2 linked regions of the Mytilus edulis genome follow. The protein of the gene in region 1 binds, or shares a complex with, the protein of each later gene. Links are inferred from orthologs where the notes say so. Each region holds a gene or a part of one and is shown on either strand. Other genes may lie near its edges.

The links. The genes of interacting proteins can lie anywhere in the genome.
Region 2: the proteins of cell cycle checkpoint protein RAD1-like (region 1) and checkpoint protein HUS1-like are in contact, whole or in part, in a crystal structure (PDB 8GNN), measured with the Homo sapiens proteins. The link is inferred for Mytilus edulis from reciprocal best matches to the Homo sapiens genes RAD1 and HUS1. Residues at the interface, in NP_002844.1 of Homo sapiens: Asn85, Val88, Asp91, Cys92, Ser94, Ile95, Phe96, Gly97, Ser98, Gly127, Val128, Val129, Thr130, Val131, Cys132, Lys133, Ile134, Asn135, Gln137; in NP_004498.1 of Homo sapiens: Thr165, Ser168, Val169, Lys172, Met173, Asn175, Ile176, Glu197, Leu198, Val199, Cys200, Val201, Thr202, Thr203, His204, Phe205, Lys206.

Annotation. Positions count from the first base shown.
Region 1 is NC_092349.1:72,360,002-72,367,757, forward strand, and holds the start of cell cycle checkpoint protein RAD1-like, read left to right. Parts: upstream 1-4,736; 5' UTR 4,737-4,820; coding exon 4,821-4,931; intron 4,932-7,756. UniProt on the Homo sapiens protein: Component of the 9-1-1 cell-cycle checkpoint response complex that plays a major role in DNA repair. The 9-1-1 complex is recruited to DNA lesion upon damage by the RAD17-replication factor C (RFC) clamp loader complex.
Region 2 is NC_092345.1:33,788,566-33,795,853, reverse strand, and holds the start of checkpoint protein HUS1-like, read right to left. Parts: upstream 3,023-7,288; 5' UTR 2,962-3,022; coding exon 2,910-2,961; intron 1,289-2,909; coding exon 1,161-1,288; intron 208-1,160; coding exon 31-207; intron 1-30. Other genes in the region: IQ calmodulin-binding motif-containing protein 1-like, read left to right, coding at 3,145-3,253, 4,751-4,913, 5,432-5,570, 6,989-7,088. UniProt on the Homo sapiens protein: Component of the 9-1-1 cell-cycle checkpoint response complex that plays a major role in DNA repair. The 9-1-1 complex is recruited to DNA lesion upon damage by the RAD17-replication factor C (RFC) clamp loader complex.

The DNA of each region.
Region 1 (7,756 bases):
CAAAACAGGAACGGACCGGACGGCGGTTGTTCTACCACCGCAGGCACGGGCGGCGGCGGCAGCTGTTCTACCACCGCAGACACGGGCGGCGGCGGCGGCGGGGCGGCGGGGCGGCGGCGGTATTGTTCAAAACTTTATAAGAAGGAGAGAACACGGGCTTCATCTAATCATGGACGAGTTTTATTTATTCGTCAATAGCGGAGACTCGCTCGATCTCTTTCCCGAGAATAGGGGAGGTCAGTTCTCAGTACGTTTACCTCGATCACACTTAACGAATGGAACGTGGGAGTGTGCCCTATTGGAAATGACGTTCGTGCCTACTTTCGAAATACCCACGCGCAGGGTCTACCTATGTTCCGACGTGGTGAGGGAAGAATCGTACGTCAGAGACACGTATTTACCACTACTTCAATCCGTAGCAGTGCGACGGGACGAGACGATGGAAGTCGTCTTCGAGAGACCACTCTACCGCACGACGAGAGGAGGCGAGGTGACACTATTGGAAATCACCGTCAGAGACGATAGATTACGAGTGTGCCGATTCAAGGACGATCACGTATTCTGCTTGCTGCATTTTAGAAAAAAGTTATAAGAGGATAGCGGATTCGATTTCGAAGTACATGTATAAACATGGAATGTCCTACCTGCCATAGACGGTTTTCCAGGAGAGATGTCATGTTGAGACATTATCGCAATCAGCATGGTAATGGGGATACGCCGCCGCCGCCGCCGCCCGTGTCTGCGGTGGTAGAACAGCCGCCGCCCGTGCCTGCGGTGGTAGAACAACCGCCGTCCGGTCCGTTCCTGTTTCGACACCCGTTTACTATGATCGTTTCGGGTCCGACGTCTTGCGGCAAGACGCATTTCGTGGCGAAAGTCCTCCGAGAAGCGGAAGCGATGTGCGAACCGGCACCGCAGAGAATCGTCTGGCTGTACAAGAGGTGGCAACCCCTCTACGACGTCGTACGAGACGGCGTGCACCCGCCGGTGGAGTTTGTGAGAGGCATCCCCGCCGACCTGGAGAGCGACGACTTCTTCGATCCGAGAGTGCGCAACATGGTGGTCCTGGACGATCTGATGACCCTCGCCAGCAAAGACACCCGCATCAACGATCTCTTCACCGAAGGAAGTCACCATCGAAATCTTTCCGTGATCGCCATCTACCAGAACCTGTATTTTGGAAAGGACCCCACACAGAGAAGAAACTGTCATTACATGGTCCTCTTTGACAATCCGATCGATCGACAGCCCGTGGCCACCCTGGCACGACAGATGTACCCGGGTCGATCCGAACATTTCCTGCGACAATTCGACGAGGCCACGAGAAGACGACACGGTTATCTCCTTGTCGACGTCAAACCGGAGACCCCCGAGACGGAGAGACTGCGCACGAACGTCCTGACGGGGGCGGGAGAGGAGGAGGAGACGACCCAAACGGAAGAAACGACCACGAACGATCTGATCGCCTGCGAAGAATGCGGACTGGTCTTTGTACACCGCCGCGGACTGGAGGAGCATGCGTGCAGCAGGGAGGAGGAGGAAAGGATCTCCAAGGCGAGGAGGCTCGACAGCAGCGAGGATACCTCCGAATACGACACGGACGAAGACATACTTCCCATGAGCGACGCAGAACTAGAAGAAGCGTTGGAAGGGTTACCGGTGGACGTACGTTGTGCCGAAGAGTTACCCGCAGACATCTCGCACCGACCGATGACCTATGTCGTCAACACGGATACCTGCGATGGACCGGGGAAGCATTGGGTGGCGTTTCACTTTCCATCCACGGGACCGGCAGAATTCTTCGATTCACTCGGACGTTCTCCGGAGTATTATCATCGCGCTTCAGGAACGTGCTCATCGCCAATGGACCTCAATACAGATTCAGTACGACTCAAGTGCAACCGGGATCATCCGATACGTGCGGACTCTATTGTGTACATTTCGTGAAGATGAGATATAGAAACATTAGCATGGAAGACATTGTGAAAGATTTTTCCCCTAGTGACTTGATGAGTAACGACGACAAACTGCTTGCATTGTACGAATGAATGTAGTAAATGTATATGAAACTGACATCTGCGTTGGTATTTTTTTTTCTATTTGCCCCGAACACGATACGATTAATCGGTGATTGACGTTCACACCTTGAAGAGTTGCCTCCCTTTTTTGTACCAGAGTTCTTCGATATGATCATGTGACCTTGCCTCGAACGTTGAATTGTCAATCCAAGAGAGAGAGATATATATACAGAGTTGCTTCCCTTGTTTTGTACCAGAGTTAACGTTCCTCGATACGATCACGTGACCTGTTGTCCATATATGGACATGTGTTTTATTTTGATGTTTGAGTGAAAATAAAGTTTTTACCAAATTTGGTCATAATTTCCATATATGGTCATAGGGTATCTGGTCGGTTTCCATATATGATCGTGTATTTTATTTTGATTTTTGAGTGAAAATAAGTTTTTTTACCAAATTTGGTCATGATTTCCATATATGGTCATAGGTTGTTTTGTCGATTTCCATATATGATCATGTATTTTATTTCGATTTTTGAGTGAAAATAAGTTTTTTTACCAAATTTGGTCATAATTTCCATATATGGTCATAGGGTATTGTGGTCGCTTTCCATATATGGGATTCATCATATGGTGGTCCAAGAGTCATAATCCGACATCAGGTGCTTCCGTTTTGATATATAGCCCGTATTATCATGTAGTGAGTCATGCCCTGATCTTGCATCCTGATGATTCATGGTCGCACCGCGTCATGACCAAATATGGACGGCGTGCATTCGGTATGACTCATCTTCCTTACTTACACTGACGTCATTAGGGCTAGTATATGCCCATATATCATATTGGGGGCGGGGCATGCGCATATGACGTCAGCGCCCTAGCGCCCTGTGTTTTGGGGGTGCCTAAAACTGAACCGTCCCTACTACTCACAGGACATAAAGTCACAAATTTGGTAGGACAAAAAGTCACAAATAATTTGTTGACAATTGTTTGAATATATAATAGAAATATCTTGAAATATTTACTTTTTAATACATATATTCAAATTAAAGTTTAGGAATTGTGTCATTATGCTTGAAAAATCAAGATTCATTTAATTTTAATCATGCAAATGATATATTTTTTGGCACCATGAAGCCATTTAAGTGCCAAGTCACTTTGACATTTTGTTTTTTTTTAACAATTATTTGATTATCTTTGATATATTTTTGATTAATTTTGTTTACAAAGTTGGTATATATATACAACAGTTCAAGAAAAATACAAAAATATTTTTGTAGAAATAAGCTTTTTTTCTTTAAAGAAAATAATCAGAAAAAATGAATTGTGACTTTTTGTCCGGTGACTTTTTGTCCGTGACTTTTTGTCTGTGACTTTCTGTCCTACATTCCGCCACAGTAATCCCTACGTGTGACTTCCGTTAACTAACGAAATTAAGTAGGAACACGGAGTTATAATTTCATTATACATGTAATATCTTCAATAGAATACTTCCATGCTCACACTAAGCAGAACATTCTTACAATGATGCCAAGGTTATATAATTTGTCTCTATATTTGCAAATTAGTACAGTTGCACATATCCCAATGACAGTAACATATATTTACCATACCTTATAATGTTATAATCACAAAAGCGCTTAGACTTATGCATGCACAGACTTTTTTGAAGAGATATCTGAATGCTAATCGTAAAAAAAACCTAGCCAACTTAAGATAATATAAAAAACAGCTATATCAAAACATTCAAAATCAGAACACTGTTATTTCAGTATTAATAGTTTTCCCTCCTCTTTGTTTTTTATAAAAAAAACACCATTTGAACTCCCAGGGGTGGATCCAGCCATTTTAAAAAGGGGGTGGGTTCCCAACCCATGATAAAGGGGGGTCCAACTATACGTCCCCATTCAAATGCATTGATCGTCCAAAAAAGGGGGGGTTCCAACCCCCAGGACCCCCCTCTGGATCCTCCACTGACTACCTTATAACACAATACTCAAAAGATGAAACCAAACAACATGCACAATTACAAGGATAAATATATCCAAATATTTTCAAGTATTCGCATAGAAAAAAATAAACCCTGCCCGCCGGTATAACGTTCTAGTGTAGTCTTCTATATATACGCCGTATGATTGGGTGAACCAAAAAAATGGAGTGGAGAAGGTTTGTAACGTAAATCAATAGGTTAAACTGTTTCAAAAGATCGTACGAAATTTTAAAGGATTGATATACCGGGGCGGACCCAGCAATTTTGAAAGGGAGTTCCCTTCTCAGGACAAGAAGAGGGGGGGGGGGGTATAGTTTCCATTGATCGTCAAAAAATTGGGTCACAACTCCCGGAATCCCCCTCCTGGATCTGTCACTGTATGGACAAGCGGTGTATAGAAGCAGAGACGTATGAGACATATAATACATGTATTAATTATATATGTCTCTGATTGAAGACTTTAGAAATTAGAATAAATTTAAAAGTATAATTTGTACAACTATATCCCGTATTCTGAGATGACTATATACTGTGTTACATGTATATATAGTAGTCTCAGTCCTATTCAAACATTTTTTAACAACTTTTTCCCTTTTTAACAAAATTACTCGTCTAATTATGTGTTCTTGTTTATCAACATAGAATTCCAGTCTATTTTCTTAAAATAAAGGGTTTTGTGATCAGGTGATCAAATCTTTCCTTTACTCGCAAATTTTACACTCTCCTTGAATGAAGGAAAATAAATTCAATTGAAAATGGCGGGGAAAACAAAAAAATGATTTTTCTGACAATTTTAACCAAATTTATCTGACTATGGCACTTTCAACGCAACAGCCTGAAAATGATGATAGATATGTACTTTTAGCTAAAATAGACAATGCGAGAAATGTATCGAACATTCTGAAAGCCATTCATTTTAAAGAGGTAAATGAGAGATCAAAGTTAACTGTGAAACACAAACAACACACAGTCACAGATAGTCACTTCGGCATGTGGTCAAATCCGTCGGTTTAAGCTCATTAGAGCTTATTTTATGTCCTATCAAATTTTCGACTTTCTGCCTGTGACTTTCTGTCTGTTTAGTAGTAGTGTTTACTTAATGAAAGTCCCTGGTGCTACATTGACTATACATGTAAATGTAGCCTTTTGTAGGTGCTGATTTGACCAGGTGTCGATTTGACTTTTCATTAGCCATTAGGTGCTGAATAAACGTATTTACACTTTGGGTACTCAGCTGTAAAATTTGTGCTCAATTGACCTTAGATCTACTCTGAATCAATGTAAAGAAGTAACATCAAACATTTAATCGGTACTATTCTCAGGGAAAATATACTACTTCATATTTTCTTTACACAACAAACTCATTGGAAAATAGTAAAATTTCCCCTCAAATCGGTTAAATGTGTGATGTAACTTCTTTATGTTGCTCTTAATCATGTTTAAAATTGACTGAGTACCAAGATGTCGAAAAATAATATAAACTGGAGTCAAAAGTCGGTAATATAAAAATAGTCTATTAACATTGAGAAATCCATCAGTTGTGTGGCCACTGAACATAAAGGAAGCTCAGAAATCTTTCCCATTTTTAAAAATAAAGTATAAAGAATATCATGAACATGATGAATATTGTTGGAATGTTAAAAAAAATTTTCTTTTTCTGAGACATTTATATACCTTTAATACCAATTTATACATGTTATAAGTTGAAAGTGTCTAGCAACTCATGTTAGTTGTTGATATGCTTACAGTCACACAGTGGCATTAAAAATGTTTTAATAAAAATTAATTTTAAATCTGTTCCTTTACATCAGTGATTATTGATAATTACAACAATACACATTACAGTGTACATGTAAATGTATATGGACCATAATTTGGTATTCGGCCTTTGGTTTCTTTTTGTATCCTTTTTTATAAGTTCTAAAACTTTAACTTTTATTCTGTGGGTTGTGTTGGTGTTAGAATAGTATTAATGGAACAATTGAGTTTTTCAAGAAAAAAATAATACATTTTGATTCACCGTTTACGTGACAGGAAACCAAACAGGAAACCAATCTTTATTTTCTTTATTTTGCACAATATATTTCAAAAGACATAAATGAACACCATTAATAGTGTTACTTGCTTCATGTTAATATTTGAAATCTATTTTCAATGTTAAATTAAAGTTTTTTTAAACGCGACAGGAACAATGAGGAAACCAAAAGAAACCGAAAGCATTTCTTTAGTTTTATTTTATTGCAAAATCTGCTTAAAATAATCTGAACAGTAAACTTTTTCTTAAAATCCATCTTAAATGTAACAGTATTATAAAACTCCTAAATATGTGCTTGTTTTGAAAACAATTAGTACAATTTATTCAGAAATTTCCATATTTTCTTCATTGATACAGGATACCATAATCGTTGTATCTTGATGTTTTAGCCAAAAAAATGTATTTATATTTGGTTTTGAAATTCCAGTTATATACAATTAATTCCAAATCATTGGCAATGTAAAATTCTTTAAATCCAGTAAAGAAAAAAACTCTAACTTGGAATTAAAATCTTTAAAATAGGCACCATGTGATATTTGTGACCTGTACACCATCTACATGGTTTCCACATTTTAACCTACTTTAGTGGGCTAAAATCAATAAAGTACTTCCTTTCAAGTCATGCATGGTAAAAGTTTACTTCTCCTTTGACAAGTTTATTGCGTTTCTGAAAAGTGTTTGCAGAACATGAATAAAAAAAAATAATTAAAAATTGTGACAAAGATACCAACTTTGTACATTCCAAGTGTAACGGTATATTAACATGTATTTTTTATTAAATTATCTTTATTCACCTAAAATATCCATTAATATTTACTGCTGAAACAAAATCAATCTAACGAGCATCGGCACAATGATAAGAGACGTAATGTCTATTGAATTTTCAAAGGACCCTTTACATCGTTATCAGGAAACAAAGTGTGTTATAATGTCTGTCAAATCTGAAATCGATTTTGTCAAGTCATTGGGCATTTATTTTCACACAATATCGTATGTAACATTATGCACATAGGAAAAATAATAGACCCCCGGCGCAATCTCTTTGAAAATTGTATTTTCCTTTTTTAAACAAGACGAAACAAGTCTACAGATTATGTTTGCTAACATCCCGTTGGAAACAAAAACAATGTTTAGACCTAGTATTTCATACATCCGGCCGTAAGGGCGTGATCACATGTAAGTCACATGTTTCACGTATGACCGGAAATGATTAGAACTTAACGACAAAAACAATTTTAATAAAAAAAGGAAATAACTGGACTTCTGTTTCGTTTGAAATGTAACGCATAACGATAACGACATTTTCTTACTTAATTATTACGAAGAACAAAACTAGAATGTAAATCATCTCTGATTTACCTGTTTGAACATCTCGCGAGAGTTCATATTTGGCTACATATCTGCTCTGTGCCCATTTTGCTGTGACAACCATTGAAAATTAAAAACTAAGCCAAAAACATCAGTATCAGTCATTTTTTAATAGCTATGGGTTGTATTTATTCAAAAAATATCATCCATGGATAAGATAATGTCTCATCATTAATTTCTGCATAGTTCAATAGGTCTTGCACGTTATTTAATGTAACATGGACAGACATGTTCTTATTCAAGGTTCCAAAGAGTTTTATTAATTTAAAGTGAGTAATTGTGAACTGTTATCATGTAAGAGCAATGTGTCATTCATAAAAAAAATCATAAACCATTCAAAACAGTG
Region 2 (7,288 bases), on another chromosome or scaffold:
TTGATACTTTTTTGTCTTTTGTCCACCTACCTGATCAATTTCAAAAGTAAGACAAGGGACATGTTTTTTTGTCAATTTAATCTTGATCCACTTGGCATTGCTAGCTGTTTTTAGAGCTTTAACAATATTATCTGGAGCAACCTCTAAGTAAATCTCATTAGCCTCCTTAGAAACTCCTTCCATTGCATATTCATCAAAGAAATGACCCTGAGGAAATAAATAAATAAATAAGTAATTATTTGTAAGGACACTGGCAACAATATTAGGTAATACATTTTTAAAAGACATAGTACATTTCGACCCTTAAAATAGAGTTTCAATAAAAAAACAATTACCATTCAGAATTGGCTTTGCTCATTGTTGAAGGCAATAAGGTGAACCATAGTTGGTCACTTGATGGTTGTCTCATTAGCAGTCATGCCACATCCGCTTAACTTCTTATATAAAACTTGATATTTTACTTGACTTATATTGTATCAACTTAAACAAACTAAATTGAATTGTAATACAATGATGAAGCCACTGTACTGTCTAATTAATGTAATGTTTACCCAACAACAGTTTGCATTCATATCAATATCACTATAATTTTTAAACTTAACATGCTCAAAAGGGTCTCGGAAATGCAAATATGACATGTATAAAGAGCTTGGACTTGACAAAAAAAAAACTTACATCATTTTCAATTTTTGCAGATTTTAGCAAAATGTAGACTTATGTCAATGTATGTTAGGAATATGTTGGATAAAAGAGCATTGAGCAAAAGCTCAAATTTTAGTGTCAATGTCATAATTATCTGAACCAACAATACCTCTTCTCTTGGAATAACTCTTTAAATACAGTTGTGCTCCACATTTTTTTTTTTATAGCATGAGAGTTTAAAACAGTACAGATTTTGTTTAATTTTGCCATTTTATTATGTTTACAGAAGTGTCTGCCATTTATACTGTAAAACCTACTTGAAGGAAGCACAATGTATGTAAACCTTTAATGGAATACTCAATGTTATGATAGAATATGCTTTTACTACATTTTATGATGTTTAATCTGGTCTGAACTTATTTTGAAATAGTTTGAAAATACATTTTGTAATTGCACTTCATTTAATGTTCAGAAAAAAATAGCTTTTCACCACCTAAATATACTGGTAGAAATTTTACCTGAGGTAGTTCACACCAGATCTGGATTCCTCCATTAGCCAACTTTTCAGCAAGTATAAAATACCAGTTACCAGGGGTTATTCTCAAGACACAACTTTTAATTAGTTTTGAGAGAGTTCCTATTACTCCTGAAAATTAAAATGTTTCATACTAAAATAATGATCATGATGATAATAAATAATAATCACATCTACATGTATGCTTCTAAGAAATTGTGAATAAACTGCATTTACACAAAAGGTTTCATAGAATTTCCAAACAATGTGTATTTTAACAAACAACCTGCAGTCCCATGGGAACCAACTGTGCACCTCTTCACGCTGAATTGTAATTTTATTCATCATGTTCATATAATGCTGACTTCAAACAGAAACTTCTAACACAGAAAGAAAGAAGTTTATAATAGCAGTATCCTTAACTTTTCTTTACACTATATAGATGTTGTTCTCTCATGGATCATTGAATGACATTTATTGATATTATTAGAAATTATTAAGATAATAGTGATTGCGTATTTTACAAATGTCCATTTCCATATTGTGTAATTTATTTACCATGACTTGACAATAAAATTTGCTATCATTCGGTAGTGTCAAGTCCCGTCAAAATATATGTTCCTGGTTTGACATTTGTCAAGTTGTACATATTGTAGTGTTGTTAATGTCCCAAATATAGAAACAGAAAACACGTCAAAATGTATTATTTTTGTGACGGGATTGATTCCCTTGGTAAATGAGGTTGAAACTCAAGTCAGCGTAAGTGGTTGAGCTCAGGAAGTACTTCTTTAGGTCATTCAGTATAGGCGTGGTCTTGTTACACTTATAATCGGACGAAGTCCCCTATAACAGTAGAATAATCAATAAAAAAAAAAAAGAAAAAAAAGGGAAAATCTCGCGAAATTTTTACTATACTACAAATGTACTCATGAACTTAAAATCTTTAATTTTTTTTGTCACTTTTTTTAATTCCCCCATTTGCGCAGAACGCAGAAATCTACTTCCTTCTTCCAGTCTTGTTGTCATGTGACTTTGAGTAGTCTAGTAAAATATAGGAACTCAAGGAACACAATACCAATGTCTTTGATATGAATAAACGTTAACTGATGATCACGTTTCGTTGTTTACATTAAACGTGACGTCATAACTTAAATAACGTCACAAGTAAAATCCCTAACAACAGAACCAAAATCGGAAACGTTACGGTATTTCCATTTCTTTTTAACAGATTTTGAAGTAATAAAAAAAAAAATAATTCATACAGACTTCATATAGGTAATGCCTGCCTCATATTAGGCGAGGAATAAACAGTTACAGAGGTGATTGTTAAGAGTCCCAGGGAAATTAATGCTTTTTGGTATTCAATGGTATTAGTAGTAATCAATCCTGTGAAATTGAAACTGATGAAATATGAATAATACCAAACCATATATGACGCATAAAAACATATGATGTACTTATACATATGACACGATGATAACAAAACAATATACCTATATTCAGCTCACAGGCACTAGTTTCTATCCATGGGAAGACCTAGTCCAAATAATTATGACGTCTTGAGTAAGGCGTCAAAGAAAAAATTATAATAGCCTTTCAAGATTTTAAGACTAGGGAAGACCCACTATTTATTTACGAGTTGTCTTCCCATTGATAGAAACAAGTGCCTGTGATTCAGCTGCACATTTGGTGCCATATATAGGATATGTTATTTAAATCTTGATTGAATAAAAAAATATGCAAATGGACTTGCTCGTGAAATGGTGAATACATCCTATATCAACGATTTTCCCTCTAAACTTCATTTTGCTATGTTTAACTAGAACTGTGACATATTTCCCGCCATTCTTACTTTCGTTTTGATGCTTACCGAGTTTGTTTTTATTTTAGACAGCTAGATTTTAAACGTAATGCTGATTCAGTCGCAAGCGCCAAAATGACCATGTAAACAAAATTTTGTGTGGCAAGTTTCAACTTATATTTTTAAAATGTCAAGACAGCCGAGTCCTACCAGAGATAAACGTGTTATCAATTTAGCATCTGAGGTAGCAGAGACACGAGACAGACGTATCCCAATTTTGCTTCTGAGGCTGAAAGGTTATTATAGTCATTCAATTTTGATTTGAACAAGACCAGTCATGCTCAAATATATTACACAAAGATTTAAACCTACATATAGATATAAAAAAAAAATCATTATCATAATCTTCCTCGAAATGAAGATAAATATTAATGTTATTGACTGGGAAATAAGAATATAAAAAGACTATCCTTACTTCATTTTTTTTTGTACTTACATGTATCTGCTTATGATCTGTCTCAGTGTCCATATCTGTACTTGTGTATATGGAAACAAGACATTTCCACCATGGACCCAGTTCACAATTGGTCGATTCCAGTTTAAACGTTTCAGCCATGTACCAATTCTGGCATATGTAAAAATAGTCCGAGATTACTCTGATGTCCAACGGCTGTTTTGCCAGACAAGCTGGGGCCGTGGGACGTCAGAGCTGGTCCCATATCAAAAAGTGGATATTTGCCCACTCAAAATAGATGCGCTGCTTCGTCGCTTCTGATGCCGACTGACGGCCTTGGAATTATATAAATCGGACATCAATCTGTTCATTTTTCATTTATCTCTTCATTTATGTAAGTTTCACCTACCTGCCAACCTTTATTTTTCCATATTTTAACAGTTTTCACAGTGACCCATCGATTTCGGCATTTTGCCTCTCATGTTCAAAGATAATCACGTGACCACGAGAAAACAGTGATGATTTATGCAAATGACCATAATTAATGTAACACCTCTTCAATTACGATGCAAGTTATCTAAATATCCGAGAGCTTCCGATTGTAACATGGTCGGAACTAAATGCGTCATACCGATCTCCTGTAAAGGAGGTGAAAAATCGTGGTTGGCTACTAATGTTAAACATCGATATTTGCATATTTTGAGTCTCGAGACCACGAACTCTCTCATAACTTGACGTCCATTTGAAAGTGAAAGTCAAAATGCCGAAATCGATGGGTCACTGTGAAAACTGTTAAAATATGGAAAAATAAAGGTTGGCAGGTAGGTGAAACTTACATAAATGAAGAGATAAATGAAAAATGAACAGATTGATGTCCGATTTATATAATTCCAAGGCCGTCAGTCGGCATCAGAAGCGACGAAGCAGCGCATCTATTTTTGGTGGGCAAATATCCACTTTTTGATATGGGACGAGCTCTGACGTCCCACGGCCCCAGCTTGTCTGGCAAAACAGCCGTTGGACGTCAGAGTAATCTCGGACTAGTATAAAAAAAGTAGTTTCAGCCATGATTTCATTTTATACTTATACACTGTCTTACACCATAAACAATCATTGTATACATGTACATGTAAATAGAACAATTTGTGTTCTACACATTGGAAACGTTTGGCCCCTTTTTGGCAATAAGTCCTTTTGGCCTTGTCATTTTGGTCCATCATACAAATATGTTTTTCCCCCTAAAAGGTGGCCAAACATCTCAAAAGTGTAGAACACAAAATTAGCTAAAAATTAACATTTTATCATGTATATGTGTATATTTCAAATTTTATTTTATTAGAAATCCTCAGCACAGCTGTAGCTGGAAGCAAAGATGGTATGAGAATTAGGAAAGAAATATGGGAATACAATCTGTTGCAAGCCCTGGTTTTAGTTTTGAAACAAGACTTTTCCATTGTGGATGGAGAATGGCAAATTGCCGCTTCACTGGCTGCTATACTCAGGTATTAATCATTGTTAACTTTATGTAATGAATTCCATCAACTGTTTTCTGATAAAATTGAAAATGGAAATTTGGAAAGTGTTGAAGAGGTAAAAACCTGACCTAAGAGCAGAAAACAGCCCAAGGCCACCAATGAGTCTTCAGTGCAGCAGGAAAATCTATCATCTGGTCCCAGAGTTGTTAATCAAATATATATGTCATTTGGTCTCGGGTAGAGTGTTTTATCATTTGCAATCATACCATATCTTCTTATTTTTATATGAGTCACATGCGTACAAATTATGCTTTAGTTTATAGTAACTAAGGCTTATTTCATTACATATATGATAAATAAATATAAACAAAAAACAACATTTACCCTTGTCACATATTGAGCTAGCTGTTCAGTGTAGTTATATGTACTAATATTGGTGTCAGATTTACTGTTCTGAAGTTTACTTTTATCAAGGAATAGATAATGTTTAAGCAATTTTCTAAATTTAATTTATAATTCACTTTTTCATAATTAACCATTTTTAGTCAAGTGTGTGCAGGCCTAGATCTTCCTAGTGCAGAAGTAAAGAAGTTTGAGGATGAGGTGCTACTTGAAGCTGTCAGCAATATGTTCTTAGTGACCAGGCGTATACAAGCAAGATATGCCAAGATTCCAGACAGAGCTGTAAGTATTGCATCTACGCTAGCCAAGGGTTACGATCCACTCCCTTTCTCTTCACCCTTGGCGGATTGAGCCAACATTTGTGAAAACAATGTTGTGCCATCTATCGGATGATTAAAGTCATTCCCATTCCGAATACATTATTCTTGACCAATGGTAGCACTTGAACTCTTCAATTTGGAGGTAAAAACACGGTAGCGTGTAGATTCTACTCACTTGATAAAGCCAGAAACAATAATATACGTCAACATTCATTCATTTGTGCATGAAACATACACATGAACTTAATCTACAAATTGATTAAAAACATTCAAGTTGTCACTAAATATAGTCGTATGTTTATAGAATGTAAAGACTTGTTGCACAATAAACACGTGGCAATTGTTTACAAACACTATCTACATTTACACGTGATCATGTTATAGGCGCTTTTTCCACTGCAACCAATAAAAATCCTTACCTTGTGTCTCTGAAATTTTATCTCAATCCGCCAAGGGTGAAGAGAAAGGGAGTGGATCGTAACCCTTGGCTAGCGAAGATGTAAGTATTATAAATTCTGAAATTATTGTGTGCATTTATTATTGTGATTTTATTATTTTATACTTACCGGTAAATGCAATTTTAATTTTTAAGATATTGAGAAAAATCCTGTTTAATTCATATAAAATATTTCAAAATGCAAGTTTTAATTATTGCGTTTACAACTATGTCACATTTTTTGCAATAATACAAACCCCTCAATAATTTCTGAATTTTCAGTAACATATTCTTATTGAACAATCATAATTCAGGGTTCTCACTAAGGCAAGTTCATGAGTCCTCGACTCATGAAAATCTGTCTGGACTCACCATTTTCAAAACTGGTGAGTCCAAAAATGCATCAAGAATGAAATATTTTGTTTAAACTGTACACATACATGTATATCATCATTATATAGCAAAAGTTTAAAAGTAATCTGAAATGAATGTCATTGAATTGCTCTATCAGGTCATATAGCAATATCCTCATGTTACTGTTGGACTTTTCAAGGGAAAATTGACAAGTCCCTTGAATTGCCTTAAAAAAATCTTAGTGAGAACCCTGTCATATGTAAACCAAATGAATTATTTGTTCTTAGTGACCAATCATATACAAGTAAGATATGTCAAGATTCCAGACAGAGCTGTGAGTATATCCTAAGTGACCCCAGATAAATGGTAGATCTGATAAATTAAACGTCATGGTTACTAGCTATAGTTGCATACTGGTTCGATAGATATTTTTCATGGCAACTTATATTTAATTTGGAATACAAGACATATAATACTTGGTGAGCAGACTGTACTTTTTTTTAATAGTTACAAATGTATGATTATGATAAATGGTAGAGATTTGCTGTTCTTGAAGTGGAATCTTAAGACTCCTTTTTTTATATTTGTAGGGTCACATGAAGGAAAGAAATAAATTACTTGCATGTTACAGAGGTGTATTGGAATCTATTGTATATTTAGCCTCAGGTCACACGAGTGTGCCAAAAAAAGGTAAATCTAAGAACTTAAGGAAATAAGATTGAGTGTATAGTCATATTAAACAATATTGAATTTGAATGCAGTAAGATCGAACGTTTTCTGTTCAATTAGACTTTAATGGACATTTTTTTTCTAATGCAATCCTTATGTAACAGTTTTTTCATTGGCTGAACTTTACTGTCAAATTCACAATGGGCCTCTTTACGGTAAGT